Caenorhabditis elegans: one gene and its partner. The protein of the gene in region 1 purifies or fractionates together with the protein of each later gene. This does not show direct contact. Each region holds a gene or a part of one and is shown in the gene's direction. Other genes may lie near its edges. The genes, in order: C04E7.3 and Y57A10A.5.

The links.
Region 2: the proteins of C04E7.3 (region 1) and Y57A10A.5 fractionate together in Caenorhabditis elegans (co-fractionation; one large-scale study listed by BioGRID). This does not show direct contact.

Annotation. Positions count from the first base shown.
Region 1 is NC_003284.9:336,987-352,505, reverse strand, and holds the start of C04E7.3 (uncharacterized protein), read left to right. Parts: upstream 1-5,288; 5' UTR 5,289-5,311; coding exon 5,312-5,369; intron 5,370-6,205; coding exon 6,206-6,624; intron 6,625-7,230; coding exon 7,231-8,340; intron 8,341-10,574; coding exon 10,575-10,733; intron 10,734-11,273; coding exon 11,274-11,425; intron 11,426-13,304; coding exon 13,305-13,437; intron 13,438-13,485; coding exon 13,486-13,540; intron 13,541-13,585; coding exon 13,586-13,748; intron 13,749-14,716; coding exon 14,717-14,777; intron 14,778-14,824; coding exon 14,825-15,519.
Region 2 is NC_003280.10:12,145,229-12,160,932, forward strand, and holds Y57A10A.5 (SPK domain-containing protein), read left to right. Parts: upstream 1-9,257; 5' UTR 9,258-9,283; coding exon 9,284-9,435; intron 9,436-9,478; coding exon 9,479-9,592; intron 9,593-9,641; coding exon 9,642-9,920; intron 9,921-9,963; coding exon 9,964-10,077; intron 10,078-10,124; coding exon 10,125-10,322; intron 10,323-10,383; coding exon 10,384-10,954; intron 10,955-11,012; coding exon 11,013-11,237; intron 11,238-11,281; coding exon 11,282-11,344; 3' UTR 11,345-11,584; downstream 11,585-15,704. Other genes in the region: Y57A10A.2 (SPK domain-containing protein), read left to right, coding at 2,575-2,732, 2,802-2,915, 3,256-3,423, 3,473-3,517, 3,958-4,303, 4,552-4,764, 4,818-4,880; Y57A10A.4 (SPK domain-containing protein), read left to right, coding at 6,740-6,891, 6,935-7,048, 7,097-7,378, 7,422-7,535, 7,585-7,773, 7,823-7,924, 7,973-8,215, 8,266-8,919 and 1 more.

The DNA of each region.
Region 1 (15,519 bases):
ACCCCCAAAAAACCATGTTTTAATTGAATTAAAATTCGGGTTTTGCTCGGTTTTGTTCCAAATTTATGTGCAAGATACTACTCAGAGAGGTGAATTTTTTGAAAGAAAGTTTGAGTTCATAAGTGCAAAAGGCAAAAAGTTGTTTTTCGTCTTTATCTCAAGTTCTACTTCATCTTTTTCGATACTTTTTTTTCTACCCCACGTAAAAAAGTTCGCTAAACACGATTTTCAACTCAGAATTAAGAAAAGTTTTATGAGTCGGCCGAGCAAGACGAATAAGTGCCACATTTTGCACACTTTCCCATTTTCGCGAATCTACTTTTTCAATCATAACTCGGTCAGTTTTCGAGTTTTCTTAGTTTTCCAAAAATTGACGTGTAGGTCTCATCAAGACGCATCGAGACATATAAAATTTGTAAAAAGTTCAGTGGGAAAATTTTTCAAGAAAAAAATAATTCAAAAATTTAGTACTGGGGGGAGTGGTTTCCTGCGTCTCCTGAACATTTTATCCACTAAAGTTTTGCGGAATGTATTTTTAATTCATAGTTTTTGATTTTATTTGATGGAAGATGAAGTTTCGTCGCATTAGAAATACTCTGCCAAGAGATATTATTTTTATTAATTTTCAGGCCAAAACTTGTTTTTTTTCTATACATCTGTCTGTGTACAAGATATAGCCCTCAACTATACGTCTCCTTTTTGGGAAATCAATAATGAGTACAATCCTGTAATAAAATTTTCAAAAATTCGTTTTCCCGCTGACATATCAGTAATAAACGGTTTTCGAACGCCTTTTCTCAAAATGTAATTATTGAAGAAAGCGGAATCGAAAAACGACTCCCTCCAGAAATTTCCCTTCCCTGCATCTCCCTGTCGGGTCTCTCCCGCATGGCCGAGTGGTTAGTGTGTATGGCTGTGAATATTTTGCTCGTTTGCTCGATTCCCCCAACTGACAAATGTTTTTTTGCTAATCGGGATTCGAATAGAAATGCTCGATTTTAAGCAAAATATGAGTGGGTCTCCTCTCCTCCCATTGGCTCACTGCAATTGTCACGAACCCTCTGACAGGTTCGAGGCGAAGCCGAGAACCTACGTCCGATTGGGGGACTCGCCCTACACCCCCTGCAACTGGCGGGCCGCAGGGCCCGCTAGTCTATCTTAATAAACATGAATTGACAGAAAATGCATAAGTATAAAATGCGATACGCAGTGTCTGTCCTTTTTATTTTTGAACTGAAAAAAAAACATATTTCCTACGTGTTCTGGACTACTAGTCCTTGCCAATCGATCTATGGGCATTTATTTTTTCCTGCAAATCTTCCGGGGTCAAATAACTTCCTACGACTCGAGCGTTTGGAAAGGGTCAGACGTCAAACTGTACTTGTGAGTTCACCCAGATAACATGCATCTATATACTCGTTTTTGACAATTTTTTTTTTGTTTCTTGGCTTTTCTGTAGCCTCTATTTTTACTGCACCGCTTGCTTTTTTTTTGTCTTTTTTCTGGACTTTGAACGGAAGTTGTGCTGTCTAACTTCAGAGTCTGTTTCAGAACAGGGCGGTAAACAATTTTTCCCGGCAAATCGGCAAACTGCCGGAATTGAATATTTCCGGCAAATCGGCAAACCGGCAATTTGCCGATTTGCCGGAAAAACGGCAATTGCCGAAAATTGTCGGCAAATTACTGGAAAAAATAAACGCTTAATTTTTTCTGATTTTTCAAAGGCTATTTTGTCAATCATCAATTAGTGTGAGACGTTATCATAAAAAACAACGGAATTATACAAAAACACAAAATTAAAACGGGAAAAATTTAAAATTTACAGTAGTAAGTTTTGTCGTGGTGAGACCTATGCTTCAAAACAGTGGCCCTCCCTTTGATTATTTCCGGCAAATCTGATGCCCGGCAAACGGCAAATCGGCAATGTGCCGAAAATTAAAATTTCCGGCAATTGGCCGATTTGCCGAATTTGTCGACAAATCAATTTGCCGAACGACAATTGCCGCCCAGCCCTGTTTCATTATTTAATTAAAACTTATGCTTCGTATAATTTTCAAAATCAACATTTAACTATATACTTTATTAAAAGTAAAGTTTATCAGATAAACTCTTAGTTTTTCGTTCATTTCAATGTTCATCCCATCCAATTTCAATCAAAATGATTCCGTATTCTACTTTTGGCTGATCTCACTTGCTTCGAAAATTAGAAACTTGCATTAATTTCTACAATGAATGGAGAAACCGTTGTATGTTTGTCACTTAATGTAATTTTTCTCATTAATAATGAATTAAAAACATCTCACGTTTCAGAAAATATTTTAGCCAATATTTTCCTTCGAGAACACATGCATTAAATACCAAAAAGTAGGACAACTCCAAATTGATTTTTTGAAATTATTACAGGAATGTTTTTGGAAAAACTCCCCTTCACCTTTCCGGCTTATAACGTCAATATAACTGTTGTTCAATAAGATAAAACATTTAAATTCAATAATACAAAGATAACCTGTCAATTTGTTTGATTTTGAAAATATAGATATAGAAGATTTTATTTCAACTGGAGGAAGTACGATAATTTTGAGTTCTGAAAAAGAAACAATTTTTTTAATCTTTGCTCATTTTAAACTAATTTACCCTTAATAATTTATTATTTATTTCGAAAAGTAAGTGAATACAATCAAGTGCAAATCAGAAATCATAAACACATATTCAGCTTGTTTTCGAACTGAAAACTATAACTTTGTTCAACACTTAAAGGTGGACTACGCTCTGTGAAGAAATTGCTTAAAATTCCCATGGGGTCACAATGACCGAATATCATGATTGAAAAATTCCAAAAAATTTTCTAGATTTTATATGATTTTTTAAAAATTCGAAAAATCTCAGTTTTCACCTAATTTGTCGCGAAGTTTTTCTCGGAAAATTTGAATTTCCCGCCAAAAAGTTTTCTCAGAAAGTTTGAATTTCCCGCCACAATATTTTCTCTGAAAATTTAAATTTCCCGCCAAAATTTTTTCTCAGAAAGTTTGAATTTCCCGCCCAAATGTTTCTTCTCAGAAAATTTGAATGTCCCGCCAAAGTTTTGGGTCTCACCACGATGGGTCTCATCTAGATGGGTTTCGCCACGACGGGTCTCGACACAATGGGTCTCACCACGATGGGTCTCACCACGATGGGCCTGACCACGAAGGGAGACGGACCCCGCCAACAGTTCTTAGTATAGTTGGGTGTGAGGTCACAAAAACAAACAAACAAACGGTACGGACAGGAAAAATAAGCTGTATTTTTTTAAAAATATATAAGTAATGATTTCATTTATTCTCATTATTCCACTGTTTTTCTTCATTTTTTGTGTTTTTTAAATGGAAATTGAATCGAAAAAAAAACAAGATAAATGCAGAATGTGTGCTAAAAAGTCATTGAAAGTGCATAAAACTGTGAAATATACTAATTTCATGCTTGTTGTCGTCGAAACTTATAATTTTACTGTTTTACGCATTTTCAATTACCTTTTCACAAGCATTCTGCAGTTATCTTGTTTTTTTTCGTTTCAATTTTCATTTAAAAAAATATAAACAAAATGAAGAAAATCAGTGGAATAATGATAATAAATAAAACTAATGAATAAACAATGCAAGCGCGGTCCTTCGAATGAATCAATTGGCGGAAATATAAATAGGAACTAGGTGAAAACTGAGATTTCTCAAATTTTCAAAAATCATATAAAATCTAGATTTTTTTTCGAATTTATTTATCATCATATTCGGTCATTGTGACCCCATAGGCATGTTTTAAAGTAATTTTCCCACAGCGTGTAGTCCACCTTTAACGGGTTACAGGGTGGTCCATAATTATGGGAGCGTTGTTGTGCTCACAAAATCTCTATTTATGCTTGCTCTACAACTTGAAAGACACGGATTTGATATACATATTTTTAATAGCTGAAATATTTTCATATTAGCTGACGTAAAACACTTGTTGGTTCGTTAAGTAACGAAAGCCTGACAGCGCCGTCAAAGAAGCAAATGCTCTTACAGAAATGCTTTTTTTTAATATAGAAATATTTTGCAAATCAAACGGTCAATTTTTCAGTGGTTCACGTGCTCGCTCTTCGTGTTTAATGGCAATCGATATGACACTGAAAGAGAGTGCAGTAAGCAAAGAAACGCAAGAAAACGTGTTGAAAGGCTGGAGACGCAGCCGGTGAAGCGACTTGATGTGTCCTCTCTATCCGGCAAATTTATGGTCTCGCCGCCTTGGTCTTTTCCTTTTCTACTGTTTTCTATGCTTTCTTCATTCCGTTAGTCAAATGATGTTCAAAATCTTTTGATTGCAAGCACATCTTTAAAAATTTAATTTTTCTGCAAACATCGATTTGTGTAATATTTTTTGAAAATTTTGTTTGGTACTTGTGTAGTATAACTAGTCAACAATTTTTTTTTCAACACGTTTTTTATCAATTTTCTTTCAAAATGATAATTTAATTAAAAAGTGAAATCGATTTGCATTTTTAGGCTTAAAACAACACTAATCCTAATCCAATGTGTGCATTTTGGAAAACATTTTTTTCGGTCGACTTCCAAGTTTTGAGTGGCGAAAGCTGAGTAATTCTTACATTCTGACAGTAAATAATAAATTTCCAAAAAAATTGATAAAAAATGTTATGTGGGCATTTTGGCCCAACTAGAGTAGTCAAAAAACTTTTCCCACTGGCGCTACTCTACCTTTAAATTCACAAAAACCTAATGGAGTCATTCAAGTAATGTTGCAAAATGTACATATTTAAACCCATTAATGGCGTCACAACTGTATTAAAATACATGCTTTTTAAGTAGTCTCGGCATTCAGAGGCAACTTCCTGCCACACTTTGGCAACTTATTTAGTGCCACTAAAATAAGTTGCCGAATTGCTGGCAGGAAGTTGCCGAGTTGTTGGCAGGAAGTGGGAAAGAACGCTCAGCAACATCTAAATGTTGGCAGGAATGTGCAAAAGTTTGGCGGGAAGTTGCAAGTAAGCAAAGTTTGGCAGAAAGTTGCCTCTGAATGCCGAGGAGCGTTCTTTCCCACTTGCTGCCACTACGTGGCAACTTCCTGCCAACAACTCGGCAACTTCCTGCCAGCAATTCGGCAAATTATTTTAGTGGCACTAAATAAGTTGCCAAAGTGTGGCAGGAAGTTGCCTCTGAATGCCGAGGTATTCTTTCTTGACTCAATCTTTTTCAATGTTTGTTATTCTACTGCAAGAGATCTTTTAATTGCTTTTCTGCGTTATATATTATAACATATTTTTTTTAGATATTCGTAAGTCGAAATGAATGTAAACGACCCACCTGATATACGGGCTATTCCAAACTTTACAGCACAAACTGGTAGGTATTTTTTTGTTGGAAAATTCTGGTCTTAAAATTAAACAGGGTAACAAAACATTTAGGGTCACACCAGGGCTAGGACCAAAAAAAAAAACCAAAAACCAAAAATTTGGAATTTTCGGAAAACCCAAAAAACCAACCCAAAAAAAAACCAAAAAATTTTTGATGCTTAAGTTCATTTTTAATGGCGTTATTCAAGTAATGTTGCAAAATGTATTAAAATACATTTATGACGTCACAACTGTGTTAAAATACATGTTTCAATGTATTTTAATACAGAATAGTCTCGAGTCGAGACTAGACACGGTAAACATTTGTTTTTTGGATTTTTTGGTTTTTTTGGTCCCAAAAAACCGAGAAAACTAAAAAATCGATTTTTCGTCAAAATACCAAAAAAACCAAAAAACAAAAAACAAAAAAACCAAAAAATTCCCAGCCCTGGGTCACACGTCATGAGTTTTTTGTTGCATTTCATTTTTTTTAGATAAACTTTAGAAAATTGCAAAATTCAAGCCTTTCTAATTGAACATGCTCATTTATTTGAACAATATTTGAGATTTTTGATCATAACTTGAGTTTTGCTCATACAGTTTTCAGAGCAAACATTACCATCACAAATTTTTGGCATCCTAGCCCGGAAACAATTTTCTGGAGCTTCCTTTAAAGTTCTTGTGCTGATTTTGCTTAGTTTAAAATAAAATGCAAACTCACAGAAAAGTTGAAAAAATCAGTTCACAGTTTTTTTTGCGGTCGACGAAAATCTTTATGAAATTAATAGGCGAACATTCCTAGTTTTTGAATGCAAAATAACAAACTTTCATACAAAATATCTGCAGATACTCCCATAATGTCATCGCATGATTTTACGCATCCAGTGCGCTATACAAATAAGAACCAACCTGGAAGAAATTCACTGTCAAGACATGAATCGGGAGACAGCTCAAGAAGTACGCAAGGACATGCATCGTTGCCTCGCAACACAGTAGGACCGCCTGATCCCAATGCTCTGTCCCCGGAGGGGCTGGTTTCAAGGCCGCTGAATACAGGAGTTGGGCCCAATCAACAAGTTCAGGAACAATATAATGCTTTTTCGAATCAAAATGAAAATGATAGAAAAATGATGGAAGATCCGAGAGAAAGTGCGGTTCCGAATAAACGAGCCGCTGCAGCTCCACCTTGGATTGGTTATACCCAAACCTATCAAGGTCAACAAAAGTATCGCAATCCTCAAAAACTTCAACAAAGTACAATCAAGGTTAGAAATTTAGTATTCTGTGTAGCTTATTTCATGTTCATCTTACAATTAGTCTTTTAAATTCAACGACGAAAGCATAGGTAAGTGAACTAGGCAACAAGGAACAAGTTGATCAAAAAACAACTTTTTGGGGGAATACATATCATATTGACAAGTCAGTCTAATTTCAAATTTTAACTAATTTTAGGCCATTTTTGAGCCTTCATAACTTTTTGAGAAGTTTTCAAAAAGTTTCATTATGAAATTCGGTGTTTTCAGAAAATTTTGAGTCTAATAAAGCAATAAAAAAATTCAACTACACCACCTTTAACAGTAAAACAATACAAACAATAAAAAAATTGTGGACGCGTGAAAAAACAATTTCCAAAAAAAAATTTCTATGAAATATACTTTCTAGCAACTAGTGAAATGCTCTTATCTTCTATTATCTATTTTTTGGTGTTTAGCGTATTGTATGTTTTTGACTTTTTTTCTGTGTTCTTATCAATACGAAAGTCGTATAATTAGGGCAAAAATCCGAGGGTTTCCGGTATGCAGCGCAGTAGCAGGCGCCTGAAGATTTCATGTTTTGCCTACCTGTAAAAAAGTCATACGCCAAATTTTCAGAAGCGACCAAAACCGGAAACAACTTCCGGACCAAAAAAAGCTTCGAAGCCGACGTCTTTGTCAGAACCTAAAAAAACAGAATGCTCCATCTCAGAGGATGAGTTGTTATCAGCAAGTTTAGCTGAACGTGTCCAAGCAGAAGTCTCCGAAAATGAGCAAATCGAGAATCTCACTGAATGGGCGCAAGCCTACAAACAGAAACAAGAAAAATCAAGTGAAACAAAAAGAAGGTCCCGTAAAACTGCACATCGTGAAGAAGAGCAGAAGTCAAAAATACTGACTGTTCCTATAGGATCATTAAGTGAAGATCAAGCAGTGAAACAATTGAAAGAATTGACCAAGGAGAGGCGAAGGGACGATGCGTTAGTGGCAGAACCCTCAGCAAAGAAAAAATGGCAACAAAAAGAAGTGGAATCAAAGAAAAACGAGGGGACATCTTTTGAAAAGGTCTCAGATCAAGTGCGACTAAGAACAATGATTGAGGATCTGGTATTGCAAAACGAAAATCTTCAACCAGTGGAGTGGAGTGGATCTGAAATGGCGTTGAAAAGAGACAACGACCGATACCAGAGACGAAGCCAACTGAAAACTGCAAATAATCGGGAGCTGGCCAAAAAAATGATGAGCATGGAAAGAAATGAAGTTGATTTTTTGAGAAATGCAAGATATAGTAAACACGGAAATTTGAAAGTCTGGAATCAATTCAAATCACTTGTTAAAGCTAATAAATTATTAGAAGAGGAAATCATCAACCAAAAGTGTCAAGAACTTCACGAAATAAAATTTAAAACCGCGGCAAAGCCCAGCTTGGCAATTGAAAAGTCAACACCAACATATCTTGAAAATATGCTAATTGTGGACGATCAGGAGAAAGTCAAAAATATCGATATTTCTTATCTTTCGAAAGTTAATCCATCTCACCATTATCAATGGGGAGAAGCAAAGTGGAAAAAGATTGAGCCCCTGCTGGCAGAGTTGAAAGAAACAGAAAATGAAGTGAACTGCTATTACGAGAATACAATGGGGCATGATGTTCCCCAAACTTCATTAAAGACAGTGGATAAGATTCTGTGGCATTTTGAACATAAGTATGATGCTATAACTTGCACGGTAAGATTTTGTAAAAATAAATGTTCTGAGGAAATTTGAATTCCCGCCAAAATTTTATGAAGAAATTTGAATTCCCGCCGAAATTTTTCTGAAGCAATTTGAGTTCCCGCTAAAATGGGTCACACCACAATGGGTCTCACCACGTTGGGACGTCACTGAAACAAACGGACACTATTTTTTTTTACGTGTCTATGATTTGATGAGAACTGCGGAGACGCCTGCGTCTCTTTTCTCCAACGCCCCCTCGCCATTGACATTTTGAGATAGCATGCGAGAAAAAGTGACGCAAATGCTTTTTGCGCGTAAAATATGGCGACATTTACTCATTATTCCATGGGCAGGAAATATATATACAAGTAATGACTCAAAATTGTCTGAAAACACGAAATTTCATAATGAAGCTTCTTGATAACTTCTCAAAAAAATGTTATCGCGGTTCAAACAATTACCTAAAATAAGTTAACATTTGAAATTTGATCAACTTGTCAGTGTCGCCGCGGCTGGAAACTAACTTTTTTGAAATCCCCGTCGGATTCTTGGTGCCGAAGTTGATTATTTTGCGTTTTCAACTCGACTTACAAGACTTACAAGTCGACTTAAAAGTTAGATATTTTAAATTCGATGGATGAAGAGATGGTAAAACATTTAAAAAAATCTCTTTGTCTATCGGCTTTAAAAAATCTAAATCGAGTTGAAAACGTGAAATAATCAACATACGTACCCAAAATTAGACTGTGATTTCAAAAAAAAAAACTAGTTTCCAGCCGCTGTTACATTGACAAAGCGACCATATTTCAACTTTTAACTAACTGTAGGTCATTCTTTGATCCGCCATAATTTAAAAAAAATATAAAGTTCCATTATAAAATTCGATGTTTTCAGGCAACTTTAAGCCTAATGAAGCAATAAAAAATTTGCTTACACCACCTTTACATTTTCATTATGAAGATGGAAAGTCGTCAGTGGGGATCAGAGGTGGGCGGCTAACAGGCGAATTAGTCGAAATATCCGTTCGGCTAATTCGGCTAACACAATGGAGCACAATTGCATTGTTTGCAAACAAATTTTTATTGTTTAATTGCTTTCAGTGTTTTTTTGTTTCTGTTACCAATTGAATTGTTGTTACTTACTTGATTACCCACAAAATTAGTGAAAAACTTGCTGAATCAACAAAAAACCTGAAACTGATAAAGTTAACGGAATTAACCAAATTTCAGCCGACCGGTTAAAGGTGGAGTAGCGCCAGTGGGAAAATTGCTTTAAAACATGCCTGGTACCACAATGACCGAATATCATAGTACAAAAAATTAAAAAAATTTCCTAAATTTTATATGATTTTTTGAAAGTTGAAAAAATCTCGAATTGCATCAAATTCCCATTTGAACTACCGCCAATACATTCGATGTTCGATGGAGCGCGCTTGTCATTTTCAGTTTTTGTTCATTAATTTTTCACATTGTTGACAGATTTTTCATGTTTTTTTTTGCGTTATTTTACTGAAAATTCAGGTGAAAAATTCAAGATGAATGCAAATTGTTCATTAAAAAGAGGAGATGAAGGCGTAAAATCGTTCAATCGATTATTTCAGGCTCAAAGTCGTTGGAAAACGTTCTTTCTCTGTTTTTCACTTGTTTTTAGTGAACAATTTGCATTTATCTTGAATTTTTCACTGAATGTTCAGTAAAATTACGCAAAAAAAACATGAAAAATCAGTCAAAAATGTGAAAAATTGATGAAATAAAATTAAAAAATGACAAGCGCGCTCCATCGAACATCGAACTATTGGCGGTAATTCAAATGGGAGTTTGATGCAATTCGAGATTTTTTCAACTTTCAAAAAATCATATAAAATTTAGAAAAATTTTATAATTTTTTTAAATATGATATTCTGTCATTGGCATGTTTTGAAGAAATTTCCCCACAAGCGCTACTCCACCTTTAACTCGGCTAATATTAGCCGATTTAGCCGTTAGCCGACGTTTTCCTAATTAGCCGAATAAGCCGTTAGCCGAAACTTTTGAAACACGGCTTTAGCCGAATTAGCCGTTAGCCGAAAATGTTGAAAATCGGCTTAAGCCTAATTAGTCGTTGGCCGAAAAAAACGAATAGCCAAAAAAACGAATAAACGAATAATAATATTTTCCAAACTTTTGAAAAGACTTATTATAAAATTTGGAGTTATGGGGTCACTTGGAGTTTATTGATTTTTGAAATAAAAAAACGTTGTATTTTAGATGTATCCACAACAGATATTCTACGGAGACTTTGAGCTGGAAATTTTGAATTCAGCCTCCATAAGTTTCATACTTGATGCAGACAAACCAAAAATGAAGTTATGCTTGTCCGATGGAGCTTGCGATGTTTTGGGATTTGATGTCATCACTAATATAACGGTTTGTTGAGAATTCTTTTTGATGAACTTTCACAAAATTATCGTTTGCAAATAAGTAATAAAACTCGTTTGCAATTTAATTATCTACGTTATACTTTTTGTTTGCTAAAGTAGTTAACAATTTGAATTTAGCATTATTATAACAGTTATAAAAAGGATAACGTTTTGAACCGTGAACTCGTGATCCTTTAGACATATTTAATTGTGGATACTTGTGAAAAAAAAAAGAAACGAAAAAGTTTGAAAAAAATTTGTTTTTGTTACACTACTGAGTAGGTTGATTATTTTTTTGTTGGGCTTCCATTCCGGTGCCGGTAAGGCGCCGCAATGTATCCACATGCATGCGCATGTATAGTGCGGCGCGGAACCCCAAACATGTTGGCCGCATCCAAATAACTACCTTTTGCACTACGTTGTGTACAATCTATTAAAAAAAATCTGTGTCAGCTTTGTGTCGGTTAAAAACTATTTTCGATTCTAAACTCGCCCACCTTCATGAACTTTAACTGCAGTTTACAAACTATTAAACAATTTTTTCCAGATGGTTCCTAGCCAAGCACAAAACTTCCCACCATGTGTTTTTGTTAGAACAAAAAATATTGATGGCCGGATTATAAATTTGTCAGATAAATATGGAAGATTTAGACGAGGATCATATTTTGGAGATAAACCAATACATCAATGTCACCCAAGGTACAGGATTTGAAATATGTATTATATTATATATATAAAAATTGCTAGCCTCTGCAGGCCCATATATTAGGTTGGCAAGAAAGTCGTGTCCTAATTTTTTGTTTTGCCATGGTGGGCTGTAAATCAATTTCGGTGTTTATTCACTCGTAGTGATTGATAAGCTGACAAAAAATGACGAATAATGTCTCTTTTTTCAAGGGGGGGGGGGGGGGCAGATAGCTCAGTCGGTAGTGGTGGCTGCTAGCAGTCTGGAGGTCACGAGTTCAAGTCTGGTCTCACCCCCCTAGGTTCACCCAGCCTCTATTGGGAAGTGGAGCAATCCACGACTGGATTATCGGCCACAGTCCCCGGCTAGGACGTGGCTTAAATTACAGCCCAGAGGTGATCACCACCAGGCAGTGTACCTGAACCCCAGATCCGCAGTGCATAGCACTTGAAGAACGGATCGTCCTTTAATCTTTAATTTTTTTTAAATGAAAAACATTTAATAAATTCAATAAAATAAGTAGTTTTTTTCAACAGTCATTAGCTATTTCCGTGAACTATTGTGGCTAGATTTTCTGTGCTTTTCTATTTTTCGTGAGACAAATATTGTTTCTTCTTATTTTTTGAGAAAAAGTCGTATCGTGTCTCATTTACGTGAGACACGAGACGACTTTGTCTCATAAAAACGAGAAATGAGTTGACTTTTCTTTTCTTTTTAACAGCCCTACGCTGAATATACCTACCTCAATTGGTCTTCACCATTTTCTGTTATACATGTTCCTGGAGCTCACCCTTATAGAGGATTCCAAAAATCTTCTGAAGAACGTTTATGATGGACATGCTCCCTCGTATAAAAACGTATAGAAATGGTTTGATCATTTCGGAAATAGCGACTTTTCTTTTATTGAAAAGCAATGGTCAAAAGACCACATGAGTTGGATTTGAATGCACTAAAAGCCAGTGTTGAATCAGATCCATTTGAAACTACCCGTGAGCTTGCAAGCAAGCTTAGGGTCTTTTATAACTCTATAGCAGATGGATTGAAATCGCTCGGCATGAGTAAAATTCTTGGTCGATTCGTACCTCGTGATTTGACCTTGCCATCCTTAACCGCCAAGTTGACGTTTCATGTAATCTCCTCACTCTCCCCCGGCGTTGACCATTGTTTGGACCAGCTTATTACTAGAAACGGGAAGTGGGTGCTGTACGCTAACCACCACAGACAAGCCTAGTGGATTGGAGAAGGACAAACCCCACAGGATGTTTCGAAACTCGGCCATCACCCAAAAAAAAGTATGCTCTCTGTTTGGTGGGACTGGCTGGCCCATTGTACTGGGAGCTGTTACCTGAGGGTGAATTTATTACCGGAGAGACCCACTCAAGACAACTACGGAATTTGAAGAAAACAGTCGATCGTTCAGCCTTACAGGATAAGAAAGTATATTCCCAACATAATAACGCCCAACCACATGTTGCAAAACAAGTGATGCAGGAACTGGTAAAATATGGATGGATAATTCTTCTTCAGCCACCGTATTCTCCTTCAAGTGATTATTGAATTTTCTCCTATCTGACTCAAACCGTTCAAGGAAGAACCTTCACAATAAGAAAAAATCTCAAAGTGGAATTGAATCTATACTTTGAATCCCGGCCCGCTGGGTTCTACAGTCAGGGGATCCACAAGTTACCCCAACGTTGGTAGAACTTTGATGATCATGATGGAGCATATTACTGATTTCTTGTTTGAGTTTGCTCCGAGAAATAAATGATTGAAAAATAGGACAGGACTTGCTTGCCAACCTAATAAAATCAAAATTCTTCAACATTTTCCAAAACTAAAACTCTAAAAATTAAAAATTTTCCAAATTCTTAATTATGAATATATATTTTTCAGTGGCTTGTTTCTTGTGCTAGGTTTCAATCCAAATCACAAACAAACTCAATGTACTGTGACAGTTGACAAAGAAAATAAATTGAAATGCTACAAAATATCAGCTTCTGCCGGTTTTGAAGTTTTGGCTACAAACGTATGAAATTGTTTACGTACTCAAAGTGGAAATGATGTTTTTTTGCAGGTTCAACTTTCATTAGCAATGTACCCGAAATCATTCAACATTAACGTTTGTTTTGGTGAGTTGAAAACAATGATTTGATCAGTTTTTGAGAACATTTCAGATTTTATGCGTGATCAAGAATTTCGTAATTTTATTATTAATCTTCGTATTATATGGGTTCTAATTGCCAATCAGAATTGTGAACCACGTTGGATCGCCAAAAACCGCGAGGATCTTCTGCTGATGTGCGATTCGAATTTCGTGGAATTTGACGCAGAAACTGGGTAATAATTTTGTGACAACTTGGCTCGGCCATATCTGGGGTAGATTTACGGCGCGTTGCATGTCGCGTCGCGGCTATATATATATATATATATATATATATATATATATATATATATATGTAGTTGTATAACTAAATGCATTTGTCCGCGTGGAGTACACGACTTTCCCACGCGTTGTCCGGCAAGCGATTGTCAATGAAGCGCGAAAAATTCAATGAGGAAGACCAAAATCCCCGTGACCTTGAATTTTCTTCCTTCCAAAATTTGAAAATGTTTCCAGAATCATTAGGCTTTTTCAAAGTTATAACTGCCAAAAACTTAGTCAAAAAACTTTTATGATGCTTAAAAAATTTTAAAAACATGGAAAAATAATTCTGCAAAAAGAAATAAATCTAGAAAGGTTTATTGCCGTATATTCTCTATTAGTATGCCGCACAAATTTCCGGGCTTTTTGCGACTTGCGCACTATTAGAGACTGCCGGACTACTGGAGACTGCCGCACTAATTTCCGGGCTTTTTGCGACTTGCGCACTATTAGAGAAAAAAAAAAACTTCATATTCTATGTGAAATTCTATGAAAATTGTGTATTTTGCCCCCAAAGACACTGTAATACAATGTTTAAGTGAAAATTTATGATAAATTATTGAAAAATGGACAAGGTACCATTGGAGTAATCGAATATTTGAGGTGGCTTTCGCAACCAAAAAGAAGGGGTGCCGCACCATTAGAGACTGGCGGACTAATTTTTGAAAAGGCAGTAGGGGTGCCGCACGAATAGAGAATATACGGTATCTAGTTTTGAATTTAGATTTAAGTTCAGAGTACGCAAGTCAGAGCACGCGCTTTAGCGTGTGTTAGAATGTTGTACAACTTTAATTAATTTTAATATGCTAACAACATTAGTGAAGCGTATTACATCTAGAATTATTATTTTAAATTATTAAAGTTGGTCATCGCGTTATTGCAGACAGACACACAGCCTATATCCTCCGACCCATAGTTTCCGACCGTTGCGACGTGAGAAAAGTGTGAGTCTCCTGTCACCGTATTTGGAAATGCCATACCGATTTTTAAGGGAGATACTGTGAACAATCTCAATACTTGTATGCTCCAGCCGCACCCGTCCCCTACCGCAAAAAGGCATGAAAATCCGAGGTCACCGGTTTTTAAAGTTCCAAGAAAATTTGTTTCAAAACGCGAAAATATTCAAGCACTAATATTGAGAAAAAACAATAAGTTATTGATCAAAAAATCAAACGTCGACTGTGATGGACTGAATGTTGTTGTTGTTGCGAAACCTTTTATTATACCAACGATACAAAACCAAAATGGAACAACTTATTCATTCGAGGAAACTTGTCCCCCTGTGAAGAAATTTAAATGGAATGATGGTCATTCTTTGAAAATCGTTACGATATCTCAAGGCAAAGCTAGTTCACTATACGATCCACACCTTCCAACAGTTGGCTTTGATGGAACAAGTCCATCAACTTCAAATAAAGCACCAATGGTATCCAACGAATTTTCTTGTCTGTCTGGAGAGCCGTTCCCGTCTTCTTGTTATCACATTTCAAAACAAGTCAGATTTGCAAGAAAACAGGATGAACAAACGATCAGCCTACCAAACACTGTCGAGGAGCTAGCTTTCAATGTTCGATCTACAATTGCGAGCAGAAGAATGGAAACCCGTCGATTAATAAATCTCGGTGAACCGCCAGCTCCATCCACATCACCAGTTGATGAAATCATGGAATCTGGTGAGTTTGGTCC
Region 2 (15,704 bases), on another chromosome or scaffold:
TTCGTCGGAGCATATGGACCTGAGCACGGCGTTCCTGTATCCTCTGGAATTCCGGCTCCTTCTGTGAAAATTGAGCCAATGAGCTTGACCTTTTCCAATGACAACGTGGCATACACGCAGGCGGAGTACGGTTTTGTGGAACAATTTGAAAACATAAAAAAAAAGTTTTAATTTAAAAAAAATTATGTAGAATTTACAGTTTTTTTTTTGAAATTGTTTAAAGTATTTTCCAAAAAAAATTCCAGATTTTACTGGAAATCTCATGTGAATTTTAATATTTTTCTATAATCTTTTCAAATTTCTCTAGATTTTTTCACATTTCTCAGAAATATCTCGACATGTTTCAATTTTTCGACAAGCTAGATTTTTCTGAAAAATTGAATTTTATTTCTAGAAATAATTCAAATTTCGCATAAAATTTTTTCATAAAAATTTCCAGAAAATTTCCATTTTTTTCAAATTTTACTTAATTTTTTCAGGATTAAAAAACCTTCTTTTTTTACCAAAAAATTTTTCTATTTAAAAATTTTTTCCAGGGCCTCATCTTCGTCTAATTACCTTCCAATACCATATCCACAACCAACAGGAACTATTGGCCTACACGAATTTTTTGAACTTTTGCGTCATATTCTTATTCTGTTGGAACGTGAAGAGCTCTCGGAGCTCACGAAACAAATCAAGACAATCATCGAAAATGGAAGCGATGAAGTACGGAAAAAAATGGCTGAAAATTAGGGGAAAAGCTGGAGATGTTTAGAGATTTTCAGCGAATTTTGTCTAAAAATTAGAAAATTCAAAATTAATTTTTTTTTCTCGATTTCTAAATAATTTTAAGAAATCAGTTATATTTTTGAATTTGAAAATAACTAACTTTCTGAGAAAAAAAATTAGAAAACCTTAAATTGGAATTGTATCTAATTTTTGCCCATTTCAAAAATAATTCCTTAATAAAAATTCAAATCCGGGCCTTTTTTCCAAATTTTTTGACAAAAAAATTAAGAAATTTCCGATTTTTCTGGAAACTTTATAAAAATTAGATTTTTGTTCTTTTTTGAAGACTCTCGAATTAAAAAAAACCTGAAAAGTAGCTTTTTCTCTAAATTTTTTCCAAAAATGCTTTAAAAAAAAGTACAGAAAAAACTGTTGAAAATTAGAGGAAAAGCTGGCGATTTTCAGCGAATTTAGGAAATTTTGCCTGAAAATTAGAAAAATCATAATTAAATTTTTTTTTTCTCGATTTCTAAATAATTTTAAGAAATCAGTTATATTTTTTAAATTGAAAATAATTAATTTTTTGAAAAAAAAATTAAAATATATCGAAAAAAAGACTTTAAAAATTAAAAAAAAAAAGAATTTTCAATTTTGTGCAATTAAAAATAATTTTTGACTAAAAAACCGAACATCGACAGTTTAAAAAGAATCTGTAAAAAACAGAATTTTTGCAATTTTTTTTAGAATACTCTCGAATTAAAAAAAAACCTGAAAAGTAACTTTTCTCCAATTTTTTTCCAAAAATGCTCAGTCAAAAAACCCCAATTTTCCAGAAAATTCCAACGAATCGAATCAATTCGGTGCTCGACGTGGCATTCTACAAAATTCAGCGAAAATTCGTCGTGACATCATCATCATCATCATCGTTGCCCAATTCGACGAGCGCTCGAGGATTCTTGAAAATTTTCAAAACGGTTCTGTATTCGTTAGAATCTCCAGAAGTCTATGGGCTCTTGGAGCAAGTTAAAGAGAAATTGGCCGAGTTGGAGCATTTGGATATGGTAGGTGCCAACTACGAAATTGACCAAGAAATTGGTGAAGCCGATTTAAAAATAAAAAAAAATAATTTTTACAGAATATTTCAACTGCTCACATTGAGGAATGTGTCAAAGAAATCCTCTCTATCTTCTCATAATTTTAATATATTGTACCATTTTTTTTTCAAAAAAATCCAAAATTTGTTTTCTGAAACCGTATATTTTGTTGTTTTCCCCCCATTCCTAATTCTTTATAAAGCTACTGAATGTGTTTTTTTTGCTGGAATTTTTTCTGTTTGAATATTAATTGGTTTTTTCCCAATTTTTATATTTGCAATATTTTTTTTTGTTTATTTCTTAGTTCCCGTAAAATTTAAATTGTGCATTTTTCCAGTTTCGTTGCGAGACCCGAAAAACTGCAAGTTTACTTTTTGAAAGAACGATCCGGTGTTTTTTTGCAGAAAAATACAGTTCAAAAATTAAAATTAGAAAATTTTCCAGTAAAAATGCTCAAAGTTCAGAGCTCAAAAATTAAACATTTAAAATAATCAGTATTTTTTTCATATTTAAAAGATGCTAGACTAAATAGTCTATGCAATTTGAAACCAAACAACACGTTTAAAATGTCTAATTTATTTTTAATACCATTTTTTTAGTTGGCGCAATGAATGCCGCAGATAGGAGAATGCTGAATTTTTTGGTAGCAAAGACGATCACGGTTTGATCTACAAAAAATGCGGGATTTTTTTGCCCCAAAAAAATGTGACGTCGTGGCATTTTTTATTTGGCCGTGGAGCGCTTTTTATTGATTTTTAGGCTTTAGACAATGGACATCACAGACGTCGAATTCACGCGATTTATTGATTTTCTAATCGAAAAAACTAAAGATTCGGTTGAGCCGTTAACGATGGCGAGTATAGTGTTCAAAGAATTCAGTCAGCTTGAAGGAGATCAAATTCCTACTGGATATGGACCTTATTCAAGGTAAAACCAGGTCTCGATCGCATTTAACAAGTATTTAATTTTCGTGTCGAGACCAAAAATTTCGTTCAGATTCCATTTCAAAATCGCGCCGGTAATCGATAAATTCCACAACTACAGTATAGAGACACGAATTCGATTGATGTTCGCCCTGGGAGCCAAGGTGTCGCCGGAATTTCTGGCGCTGTGAGACCTCACGGGGTGTTAGGATGTCCCATTACAGTTTGATCTACAAAAAATGCGGGAATTTTTTGCCCAAAAAATGTGTGACGTCAGCACGCTCTTAGCCATTCGAAATCAGTTGAGAACTCTGCGTCTCTTCTCCCGCATTTTTTGTAGATCTACGTAGATCAAACCACGTGAGACCTTTGACCAGTGGAGCGCGCTTGCAGAGCCCTTTTTCAAACGATTTCAGAATTTTTCTAAAAATTCGTGCTTTTTAGAAAAAAAAAAGTTACTCAAAAAAAGTTGGTCTGCAATCGCGCCCCACTGAACCGAGATATGCTAATTTTGGTAAAGCTTGCAGAACTCGAGAACACGGTATTGCTCAGCTTGACGGGAGAAATAGAATCTGCAAATATGAATCTGAAGACGGAACTCTCCAGCTAGGCACTGCTCATTCCGAATCGGCGAAACGATGCTCTGCCAGTGATTCGGATCAGGGCGGTGCGAAAATTGCGAAAATTACGGAAGAGTCTGTGAACAAAAATTTAAGATTTTTTTCTAAAATGGATATTTTTCAGGCCACAGATCACACAACACCCGACGAAAAGCGAAGAAAATTACGAGTAATAATGAATTTTTTTGAAATTGAATTGCAAGCGCGCTCCGTCGCTAAAGCGGCTAATTTATAATAATTTTCACCAATTTTTTACATAATTTTCAATGTTAAAATCACGGATTTCTGGCTTCCCTCATAAATTGAAATGGAAGAATTTGCCGAACTAGGCCATTTTGGCTCGGCCATATCTGGGGTAGATTTACGGCGCGTTGCGTGTCGCGTCGCGGCTCGATTTTAGTTGTAAAATTAAATGTATTTGTCCGTGTGGAGTACACGACACTTTCCCACGCGTTGTCCGGCGAGCCATTGTCAATGGAGCGCGAAAAATTCAATGAGGAAGGTCAGAACCCCGTGTATGGTTGAGCAAAAATCACTAAAAACAATTAAAAATATCCGAAAAAAAATTGAAATTCCCCGATCTAAAATTTTTTCAAATTTTTTTTTCAGATCACAGATCGCACAATTACAGAAATTATGGAACAATGATGAATATGTTGGGTCTCGCCACGAAATTCCGTCGAAGGGACCAGAATTCAAATTCGAGCATAAGCGTGACAATGACTTGGAGAATCCTGATTTGTTCTTCAGAAAACCGAAATCTGAAATTGATTTGGACGAGATTTGGCATGACGACGATGAAATTGAACACAGTATTTCGAGTTTTCGAGGGAACACCATCAATTTTCACGACTTTCTGAAGAAATTTCGGAAATTTTTGTGCTATCTAGAGATTCCCGAGCTTGATGGGCTTAAAAGTCGGATTAATATATCGATTGAAACAACGTCAGATGAGGTTAATCGAATAGTTATTACCGGGTCTCGACACGACAAGTTTTTGTTAGATTCAAACTGGTATGCGCCTTTAAGGAGTACTGTAGTTTCAAACTATTGCATAAATGTATACTTTTTTTCACGATTTGTTAAAAATTATGTGAAAAAAATTACAGTACTCTTACTCTTTAAAGGCGCACACCTTTTCCCATTTAACAAAAATTTGTCGTGTCGAGACCAGTCTGGGTATTCAAAAAAAAAAATATTCAGATTCTCGAATTCGCCGATCTTCATAAAACGTTCGAAACATTCTTCTTCGGGATTAATCGAAAAATTCGATCTACCGCCGCGGCTAATTCTATGCCGCTCAATGTATTCCTCATCAAATTCAAATGCTTCCTTCTTGGATTGGGTTCTCCCCAGATTTTGGATTTTCAGCACATGGTTCAGGCTGAGATTGATGATCCGACAGTCGTGAATAAGGTTTTTTAAAAAATTTTATAGAAAAAACATGACAAAAAACTTTAAATTTGCAGATTCTTCATCTCAACGACATCTGCCAAGCTGTAAGCTTCCTGTTCTCCATTATTGCACACTGATGCACATTTTTTTCCTTTTTGAATAATTGTTTTTTATTTGATTGCTTTTTGAATTTTTCGAATTATAAACTGTTTTTTTTAAATTAAATTATTTTGAAAATCGTTTAATTGTTTTTTGTTGATTTTTTGATGTTTTGCTTTGGAAAATTTGCGTTTTCAATCGCTAAATTATTTTCTCCACTCTTGCATGCCTTTTTTCACGATTTTTTTTTTCATCACAAAAAATAATTGCCTTTTTAATTAGTCGAAAAGCTAAAAAAACTGAGAAAACGATACCGCGGTTTTCTCCAAAATGGTGCAATATTGCGTCATGGTGTGCATTGCGGACCAAGCATAGCAGCTTACGCGCAAATTGATTTTCGAATTTTGAATCTTTTTATTTTAGGAATTTTTAGGATTTCCAGCTTCTAAAGCGCATTTTTAATAAAATCTCTATGTTTTTGTCTTCCAAAATTAAGATTTTCCGGTTTTTTAATTTTTTTGCCCGAAAAATGCCGAAAACCGGGTGCTAGGTCGTCATTTCCTGAAGTGAAAATCTCGTGTTCCTAAAATTTTTATTTTTCGAGTTATCTGTGATTTTGCGTTGATTTCCCTGATAATACTTTAAGCTTAACTCAAACAATAACTGATAATTGATTTATTAATTAAATAATCTTAATTTTTAATTAATAAAATAATTTTCGTTGAAAGTATCGAAATTATGATTAATAATCCACGTTTCTGTTTCATTCGCGAATATGTCTTCTCTAATTTCTCCTAATATTTATATATTCTAATTTTCAGGTCGATTTCGACTTTCCATCTGCACAATGGTCCTCAAAGAGGCGGAATCGAAAAGATTGATGAAATTTTTAGTCAATCTGACAAAAGGTGCCGTCAAGCCGCTGGTGGCGACGACAGTATTCAGAAAATTCGCTAAGCTCAAAGGTTCAGAGCTTGGTGCAACGGCTTACGCTAATAGGTGAGAAATGTCTGCTGGACTTACGTCTCCAAAATTATTCATTTAGATTTGAAAATAATCTGGTCCCGATCATGGATCAAATGGACAACTACAGTATCGGGTCACGGATTCGAGTGATGTTCGCCTTGTCGGCAACAGTGTCGAATGATTTTTTAGAACTGTAAGGAGAGATTTAACCTTCAGATTTACGAATTTAGTTTTCAGAATCGAAACGACGGGAACTGTTCAAGTGGATGAGTTCGGAAGAATTTCCAAGTATACTTCGAATGAAGGAAAACTTTCGTTGGAAGGAATCTACTGTAAATCTTCCAAAGCAGCACAAAAACGCCCAACGAACGCCAAACTTTCCGCTGATCTCTCGAATCATTGATATTCGTACAGTTCTCGGTGCATTCTTCTTCGGAGTTAGCCGAAAAATCAAATCAACTGGATCGAATAATTCTACAATGAAGGCCAAAGATTTCCTGGTCACGTTCAAGTACTTCCTTCTCGGATTGGATTTTTCCGAGCTTCTGGAGCTCAGCACAGTGTTCAAGAGAAAATTGACGAGTCAGATATTGCAGAGAAGGTTTATCGAAATTGTGAAAAATGCATTTTAATAATAAGATTATTTTCCAGATTCTCATGTACAGCGACATCCGCCATGCTCTCCAAAACCTACTCTCCACAATTTCTCAATAACTCGAAAATTTCTCATTGTTTTTTTTTTGCAAAACTTCCCAATTTGTTATATTTTTCTGTTATTTTTTCGCTCATAATTGTTATTGCCCCATTTTTTGTTCTGCAAGAAAGTTATGAAAAGTTATGAAATTTCAATTCACAAAATACTTTTTACCAAATTTCTCCCAACTTTGAAATATTCTCATATTCAGGTTAATTTCTACATTGGAGCTGCACAATGGCCTTCATCCACACAAGTTTAACAAGGCTGATGAGATTTGCAGTCGATCAGACGAAGGATATTATTGAGCCATTGATGGTAACGAAGGTTCTCACGGAATTCAGTGAAAGTGAAAATGATGGATTATCGCATTACGCTCATTATGCCAAGTGAGCAGATTCTTCCGGCTTCTCTTTAAAACTTTTGGTTTAGATTTCACAATTATTTAGTACCGAATATGGCGAAACTTGCGGAATACAGTATTGAGGAGCGTGTTCGAGTCATTTTTGGATTCGCTGCAGTAGTTTCCGATGATTTTCTGAAGCAGTAAGAACGTGGACTTTTTTGAATTTCTCGAATGATTGAAATTTCCAGAATTCAAAGAGAAGGCCTTGTTCATCTCGATAAGAAAAAACGAATCTGTAAATTTACTTCGCATAATGGAAAGTGGAAGTTGGAAGGAGATCACAGTCACTCGGCGAGAATGAAAAGGCGGTGGTCAATGAGAGTCCGAGTTGTTGTCGGTCTCCCGAGCTTGATGAATTTTCTTGTTGAAAAAACGAAGGACATCATTGAGCCAATGCTGGCGAGTGCAGCGTTCAGAGAATTCAGTGAAAGCGAAGATGGAGGATTACCGGAACATGCCTATTATAATCAGTGAGAATATTATTTCTGCTTCACTTTAAGATGTTTTGTTTAGTTTTCACAAAAATGTGGCACCGAATATGGCTAAAATTGAGGAATACAGTATCGAGGAGCGTGTTCGAGTCATGTTTGCACTCGCAGGAAGGGTGTCTGCTGATTTTCGGGCACAGTATGAACATGTTCTTTTTTTTAATCCGGATTGTAATTTACAAAATCAGAACAAAAGGACTTGTTGAGCTGGATGATGGAAAACGAATTTCCAAGTTTACCTCAACTGATGGAAAGCTGAAGTTGGAAGGAGATCACAGTGATTCGGCGAGAAGGAAAAGAAGCGCGGCATTTTATCGAAAGACTGATCACCATTGTCGTAGTGCGAACGATTCAAAGCCTAGAAGAAAAAACGGAAGGTTCATTGGTCGATATAGAAAGAATTGTAATTAAACATTAGTTTTTCAGACAATCGGACTCGGAATTCTCTGACAAAAGTGGCAGTGATGAAGATGACGTGGAATCTGCAATTTCGTATGGTAATTCTCCGAAAAGAGCAAGATGTGAAAAGTATATCCTGACACGAATATTTACACAATCTATTCATTTAATTTTCAGATCCGCTGATCCTGAAATGCATGTTTCATCCGGAAGTGACGACGATGAGGTGGAGGATGTCGGAGGGATGGACGAAGAGCCGGTGCTTCTGCCGATTGATTCTGATGAATCTCATATCGGCCATTTGCAAAACGGTGAAGAAATGATGGTAGAAGACGACAATCAACCAATTCCTGAGGATCCTCAATACTCAGCCAATTCGAGCCACCAAGGAAGAAGAATGAGCGGACGTATTCAAGAAAAGTGAACTTATTGTGAATTTACTACTAATTTTATTTTATGCTTTTTTTCAGGCTCTCCGCTTCGATTGCTCAAGAGACTACTGATGCTGCAGTCGCAATTCCTCATGTACCGATTTTGAATCCTCCATTCGAAAGTGACGATGAGGAGGTGAAGTATATTGGAGCAGTGAAGGGACAGCCAAAGCCGGGACCGATTGAATCCGTATTTGATCAAATCAATAATCGAGATCATTTCCAAGGAAATCAAGAATACAGAAATCAGTCAATTTCTGAAAGAAAAGTTGATGTCCCACTATTCGTCGAACATCAACAAATCAGTCTTTCCGCGGAAAATCGAGCCACTTCAGCTGAATGGAAATCCATATTTCTGCATGATTTCCTGAAACAGCTGACACAATTCATTTGTTTTTTCGAATGTTCGGAGCTAGCTGAGATCAAGCGAAATATCAAGGAAGTGATGGCTGATGAGGGAAAAATTTCCTCTTTTCAAAAATTAGAAATCATTGATATTCGTACAGTTCTCGGTGCATTCTTCTTCGGAGTTAGCCGAAAAATCAAATCAACTGGATCGAATAATTCTACAATGAAGGCCAAAGATTTCCTGGTCACGTTCAAGTACTTCCTTCTCGGATTGGATTTTTCCGAGCTTCTGGAGCTCAGCACAGTGTTCAAGAGAAAATTGACGAGTCAGATATTGCAGAGAAGGTTTATCGAATTTGTGAAAAATGCATTTTAAGAATATAATTATTTTCCAGGTTCTCATGTACAGCGACATCCGCCAAGCTCTCCAAAACCTACTCTCCACAATTTCTAAATAACTCGAATAGTTCTCATTGTTTTTTACTGCAAAATTTCTCCATTTTCTACGTTTTTCTGTTATTGTCTCGTTCATAATTGTTATTTATTCTCTCCCTTTTTTGTTCAAGTTATGAAAGAATTTTCGTTTAAAGTCTCAAAATGCTTATTGATTATCTGTGTGTATTTTTCACTCACGAATACTTTTTGGCAAAATTCTCCCAACTTTGAAATATTCTCATATTCAGGTTAATTTCTACATTGGAGCTGCACAATGGCCTTCATCCACACAAGTTTAACAAGGCTGATGAGATTTGCAGTCGATCAGACGAAGGATATTATTGAGCCATTGGTGGTAGCGAAGGTTCTCACAGAATTCAGTGAAAGTGAAAATGATGGATTATCGTGTAACGTCTATTATAATCGGTGAGCACATTCTTCCTGCTTTTCTTTAAGATTTTTCGTTCAGATTTCACGAATATCTGGCGCCGATTATGGCAAAACTTGAGGAATATAGGATCGAGGAGCGAGTTCTAGTCATGTTTGGATTCGCTGCAGAAGTTTCCAATGATTTTCGGACACAGTATGGACTTGCACTTTTTTTTTTGAAAATTCCGATATTTGCTTTACAGAATCAGAACAATAGGAGATGTTGAGTTGGATGACGGAAAACGAATTTGCAAATTTACATCGTATGATGGAAAGTTGAAATTGCAAGGAGATCACAATATTTCTGCAAGACCTAAAAAGCAGTGGCCAATTAGAGTCACTCCTGCCGAACTTACTGGATTTATGAATTATCTCGTTGAAAAGACAAAGGATACCATTGAGCCTGTGGTTGCAACAAAATTATTCAGAGAATTTAGTGAGCTTGAAGGAGAAGGACGAACGGACGGAGTCTATTATAAACGGTGAGAAGAGCATTCCTTCTTCTTTTTAAGACTTTTGATTTAGATTTTACAATCAACTAGCACCGAATATGGCAAAACTTGTGGATTACAGTATTGAGGAACGTCTTCGCGTCATGTTTGGATTCGCTGCGGAAGTTTTCGATGATTTTCTGGCACAGTATGATCAAGCGCTCTTTTTTGAAAATTCCCAACTTTAATTTCCAGAATCAGAACACTGGGAGATGTTGAGCTCGATGAAGGAAAACGAATTTCCAAGTTTACCTCAACTGATGGAAAGCTGAATTTGGAAGGAGATCACAGTCATGCGGCGAGAATGAAGAGAAAATGGGCAGCATATCGAAATGCTTATCGCGGTCGTCGTAGTGCGAAAGATTCAAGGGATACTAGAAGAAAAAGCGGAAGGTTCTTTGTTTGATTTAGAAATAATTGCTATTTAAACATTTATTAAACATTTGGTTTTCAGGAAGTCGGATTCGGAATCCTCTGACAAAAGTGACAGTGACGAGTATTCCACATCTCCGAAAAGAGCACGAGCATCTGAAAGTGACGATGATGAGTATATTGGAGCAGTGAACGAAGATCCAGAACATAGACACTTTGATGATTTCCATATCGATCATTCGCAAAACTATGAAGAAACAATGGTAGATGACGACAATCAACCAATTCCTGAGGATCCTCCATACGAAAGTGACGAGGTGGAAGGCCAGCCAAAACCTGAACCGATTGATTTCGAATTTGATCAAACCAATAATAGAGATGTATCACACAGTTTGAATATTAATAATTTGCGAGAAAATGGAGAAGTCAGCAACAATCCGTCAATTTCTGAAATAAAAGTTGATTTTCCATTCTTCGAACGTCAGCAATTCAGTGTACCCACGAATAATGGAGCCACTTCAGCTGAATCAAGAGCTATTTATATGCATGATTTCCTGAAAGAAGTGATCGAATTCATTTGCTTTCTCGAAAGGACAGAGCTCATTGAGATCAAGAAACAAATCAAAAAATCGATTGGAACGGATGATGATAAGGTAAATAGACATTTCTCATTAAAGAACGAAATTTTGAATATCGATTTTCGATTTTCAGAACCTGCAAATCACTGATATTCGTAAAATGCTGGAGTCATTCTTCTTCGGGATCAGCAGAAAAATCAGATCAGTTTCTTCCTATAACTCGACTTCTTCTGATATGTTGGCGAAGGATTTCCTGCTTAAATTCAAGTTATTTCTTCTCGGATTGGACAATTCAGAGCTTATAGAGCTTCAGCGGAAGGTTCAAGCCGAAATGGATGAGCCGAAATTGGCACAGAAGGTTTTTCGAATCCGTTTAATAAATATGGTTAAAAATGTTTGCAGATTCTTCTGGACAGCGACGTTCGTCAATCTCTCCAAAACCTGCTCTTCAACATTTCTCACTGAACTTTTTTATTTTCTTTTTGTTATATCTGTCCATTTTCTCCCTTTGTTCCATTGTTCTGTTGTTTTTTCGTTGATAATTGTAATTTCCACAATTTCCTGTAGAAAAATATCGTTGATTTGCAATTTTATTTGCTCTTGAAATTTCCCTGTGTTGCATTGTTCTGATACGTTTTTGTTAGTAATTTATTTATTTTTTTTATCGGTTTTTTGTTCTTTTTTTTTCGAAGAAATTTTTTGTTTAAAGTATCGAAATACTAATTAATTAATAATTCACGTGTTGATTTCATTCACGAATACTTCCTTTCTAATTTCTCCCAATATTTAAATATTCTCATATTCAGGTTAATTTCTACTTTGGAGCTGCACAATGGCCCTCATCCACACAAGTTTAACAAGGCTGATGAGATTTGCAGTCGATCAGACGAAGGATATTATTGAGCCATTGGTGGTAGCGAAGGTTCTCACGGAATTCAGTGAAAGTGAAAATGATGGATTATCGCATTACGCTCATTATGCCAAGTGAGCAGATTCTTCCGGCTTCTCTTTAAAACTTTTGGTTTAGATTTCACAATTATTTAGTACCGAATATGGCGAAACTTGCGGAATACAGTATTGAGGAGCGTGTTCGAGTCATTTTTGGATTCGCTGCAGTAGTTTCCGATGATTTTCTGAAGCAGTAAGAACGTGGACTTTTTTGAATTTCTCGAATGATTGAAATTTCCAGAATTCAAAGAGAAGGCCTTGTTCAGCTCGATGAGAAAAATCGAATTTGCAAATTTACTTCTCATGATAAAAGTGGAAGTTGGAAGGAGATCACAGTCCCTCGGCGAGGATCAAAAGGCAGTGGTCAATGAGAGTCCCGAGCTTGATGAATTTGATGAATTTTCTTGTTGAAAAAACGAAGGACATCATTGAGCCAATGCTGGCGAGTGCAGCGTTCAGAGAATTCAGTGAAAGCGAAGATGGAGGATTACCGGAACATGCCTATTATAATCAGTGAGAATATTATTTCTGCTTCACTTTAAGATGTTTTGTTTAGTTTTCACAAAAATGTGGCACCGAGTATGGCTAAACTGGAGAACTACAGCATCGAAGAACGTGTTCGTGTCATGTTTGGATTTGCTGGCGAAGTCACCGATGATTTTCTGAAAGAGTATGAACTTGTTCTTTTTTGAAAATTCGAATATTTGCTTTACAGAATCAGAACAATAGGAGATGTTAAGCTGGATGAGATGAACCGAATTTCCAAGTTTACCTCAACTGATGGAAAGCTGAATTTGGAAGGAGATATTAGTCATTCGGCGAGAAGGAAAAGAAGCGCGGCATTTTATCGAAAGATAGACCACCAATGTAGTAGTACGAATGATTCGAAGTCTACAAGAAATAGCGGAAGGTTCATTGTTCGATATAGGAAGAATGGTTATTAAACGTTGGTTTTTCAGAAAGTCCGACTCGAAATCCTCTGACAAAAGTGGCAGTGACGAGGATGGCGTGGAATCTCCGAAAAAAGCGAGAAGTGAAAAGTATATCCTGACACGAATATTCACACAGTCTATTCATTTAATTTTCAGATCTGCTGATCCTGCAATGCATGCTTCATCCGGAAGTGACGACGATGAGGTGGAGGATGTCGGAGCGGTGGACGAAGAGCCGGTGCTTCTGCCGATTGATGTCGAACGTGATGAAATCGATAGTCAAGATGTGGCAGATAATTCGAGTATTGATCATTCACCGGCACGAGTATCTGAAAGTGACGATGAAGAGTATATTAGAGATGTGAACGAAGAATTTGATGAATTTCACAACAGAGATGTATCACATCACAACTTGCATATCGATCATTTGCAAGCCTACAATCAACCATTTCCTGAGGATCATTCAAACGAAAGTGACAATGAGGTGGTGTATATTGGAGCAGTGGAGGGACAGCCGAAGCCTGAACCGATTGATTTTGATTTTTATCAAATCTATAATAGAGATGTATCGCATAGTTTGAATATCAATAATTTGCGAGAAAATGGAGAAGTCAGCGGCAATTCGTCAATTTCTGAAATAAAAGCTGATGTTCCATTCTTCGAACGGTCTACCAGCGAATAATGAAGACATTTCAGCTGAATCAAAGATCATAAGTTTGCATGACTTCCTGAAATCCCTGATCCAATTCATTTGTTTTCTCGAAAGTTCGGAGCTCACTGAGATCAAGCAGCAAATCAAGGAATCGATTAGAACTGAAGAAGATGAGGTTTACAGTTTAAAAAATACTGATAAAAATAAAAATACTGTAATCTATATTTTCAGAACTTGCAAATCACTGATCTTCGTACAGTCCTCGATGCATTCTTCTTCGGAATCAGTCGAAAAACTAGAGTAGCCGCGGCAATTCCCCCAGCTATGAAGATGAAGGATTTCCTGGTCAAATTCAAGTTATTTCTTCTCGGATTGGATTCCTCCGAGCTTCTAGAGCTTCAGCAGAAGGTTCAAGAAAATATTGATGAGCAAAGGAATTGGCAGAGAAGGTTTTTAGAAGTCGTCAGAAATTAATTATATTAACAATAAAAATTGCAGGTTCTTCCGATCAGCGACGTTCGTCAATCTCTCCAAAACCTGCTCTCCACAATTTCTCAATATTAAATTATTTAAATTTTGTTTTGTTTTTGTTGAATTTTTTGTTGCAAAATAGGTTTTTCACCTTGTTTTGTTGTCTTTTTTGTTTCAATAGTATTTAATTTTCATTACCATTACTTTAACGCTCTTCATTTTTTTTTAAAGTTTAATTTTACTTTATGTAATACTTAATTTACTGAAAAGTTCAAAAAATAGTTGTTGAAAATACGTTTATTTCGTTTACGAATACTTCTTGTCTTATTTTTTTATTTTTTTAAAACATTTTTGTATACAGGTTGATGCACAATGGACACACCCCTCGGAAGACTGATTAATTTTTTAGTCGAATGGACGAAAAATGTCGTTGAACCGCTGGTGGGTGGACGGATCTTCAATCGATTTGCTGAACTTGATGGAGCCGGGCTTAGTCATATTTATTACTATATAAGGTTTAAAAAATATTCAAAAAAATTTTTAAAAGGTTACTTGTACAGGTTTCATGAGCACATTGCTCCGAATATTGCTAAATGGGACAATTTCAATGTCACGACACGGATTCGAATGATGTTCGCCTTGTCTGGTGAAGTGCCTGATGACTTTTTGGCGTTGTAAGTATTATTTTATTCTGTTTTACTTTATTTTAAGTTTCAAACTGTATTCATTGTTAGAATTAAGCTCACTGGAACTGTCCAACTCGATGCGAAAAGGAGAATCAGCAAATACGCTTCGAATGACGGAAACTTGAAGCTGGAAGGATGCCACGGTTGTACTGCGAGATCAAAAAATGAGCGGGGCAAAGATCCTGCCGAAATCACGAGGTTCATGAATTTTCTCGTTGAGAAGGCGAAGGTTTCCACTGACCCAATGTTCGCGAGTGTAGTGTTCACAGAATTCAGGAAAAGTGAAGAAGACGGATTAGCGTACTCAACATATTGTCGAAAGTGAGAACATTCTTCCTGTTTCTCTTTAACATTTTTGGTTTTAGGTTTTACAACTATCTGGCACCGAGAATGGATCAATTTGTCAATTACAGTATTGAGGAGCGAGTCCGACTGATGTTCGGTTTGGGTGGAGAAGTTACGGAGGACTTTCTGAAACTGTATGAACATGCTATATTGTAGTGCTATTTTTTCTACAAACACACAAAACTGGCCTATTCCTACATGATAGTACAGCTTTTTGATCTAAAAATTATATGGACATATAGAAAATAGGTTGTTCTATCGGAAAATAACATTATTTTCTGTTGAAATACTTGAAAAAGACATCGAATAGTGTCTGAAAGATTCCGTTAAAAGTTTTTTCGGCAAGCGACAATTTTCAGGCACTATTCGATGTCTTTTTATAGCTTTTCAACTGAAAATTATCATATTTTCAGATAGAACAACCTGTTTTCTACATGTCCATATAAATTTTAGATCAAAAAAGTTGGATTATCATGCAGAAATAAGCCATTCTTGTGAGTTTGTCAAAAAAAAAATGCCGCATAGCCCTGCTATATTGTAGAAAATTTCGAATGTTACCCTAGAATTTGCAGATGTCGAAAGGAAGGAGTCGTTGAGCTTGATAAAAACAATCGAATTTGCGAATATATCTCATATGATGGAACGTTGAAGTTGGGAGCGGCCCACGGTCTATCGGCTAACATGAAAAGACGTAGTTTATTGATTGCCAAAGACCCTTCCGATCTTCCGAGGCTGATGAATTTTCTCGTTGAAAAGACGAAGGATGCCACTGAGCCGATGGTATCAATTGC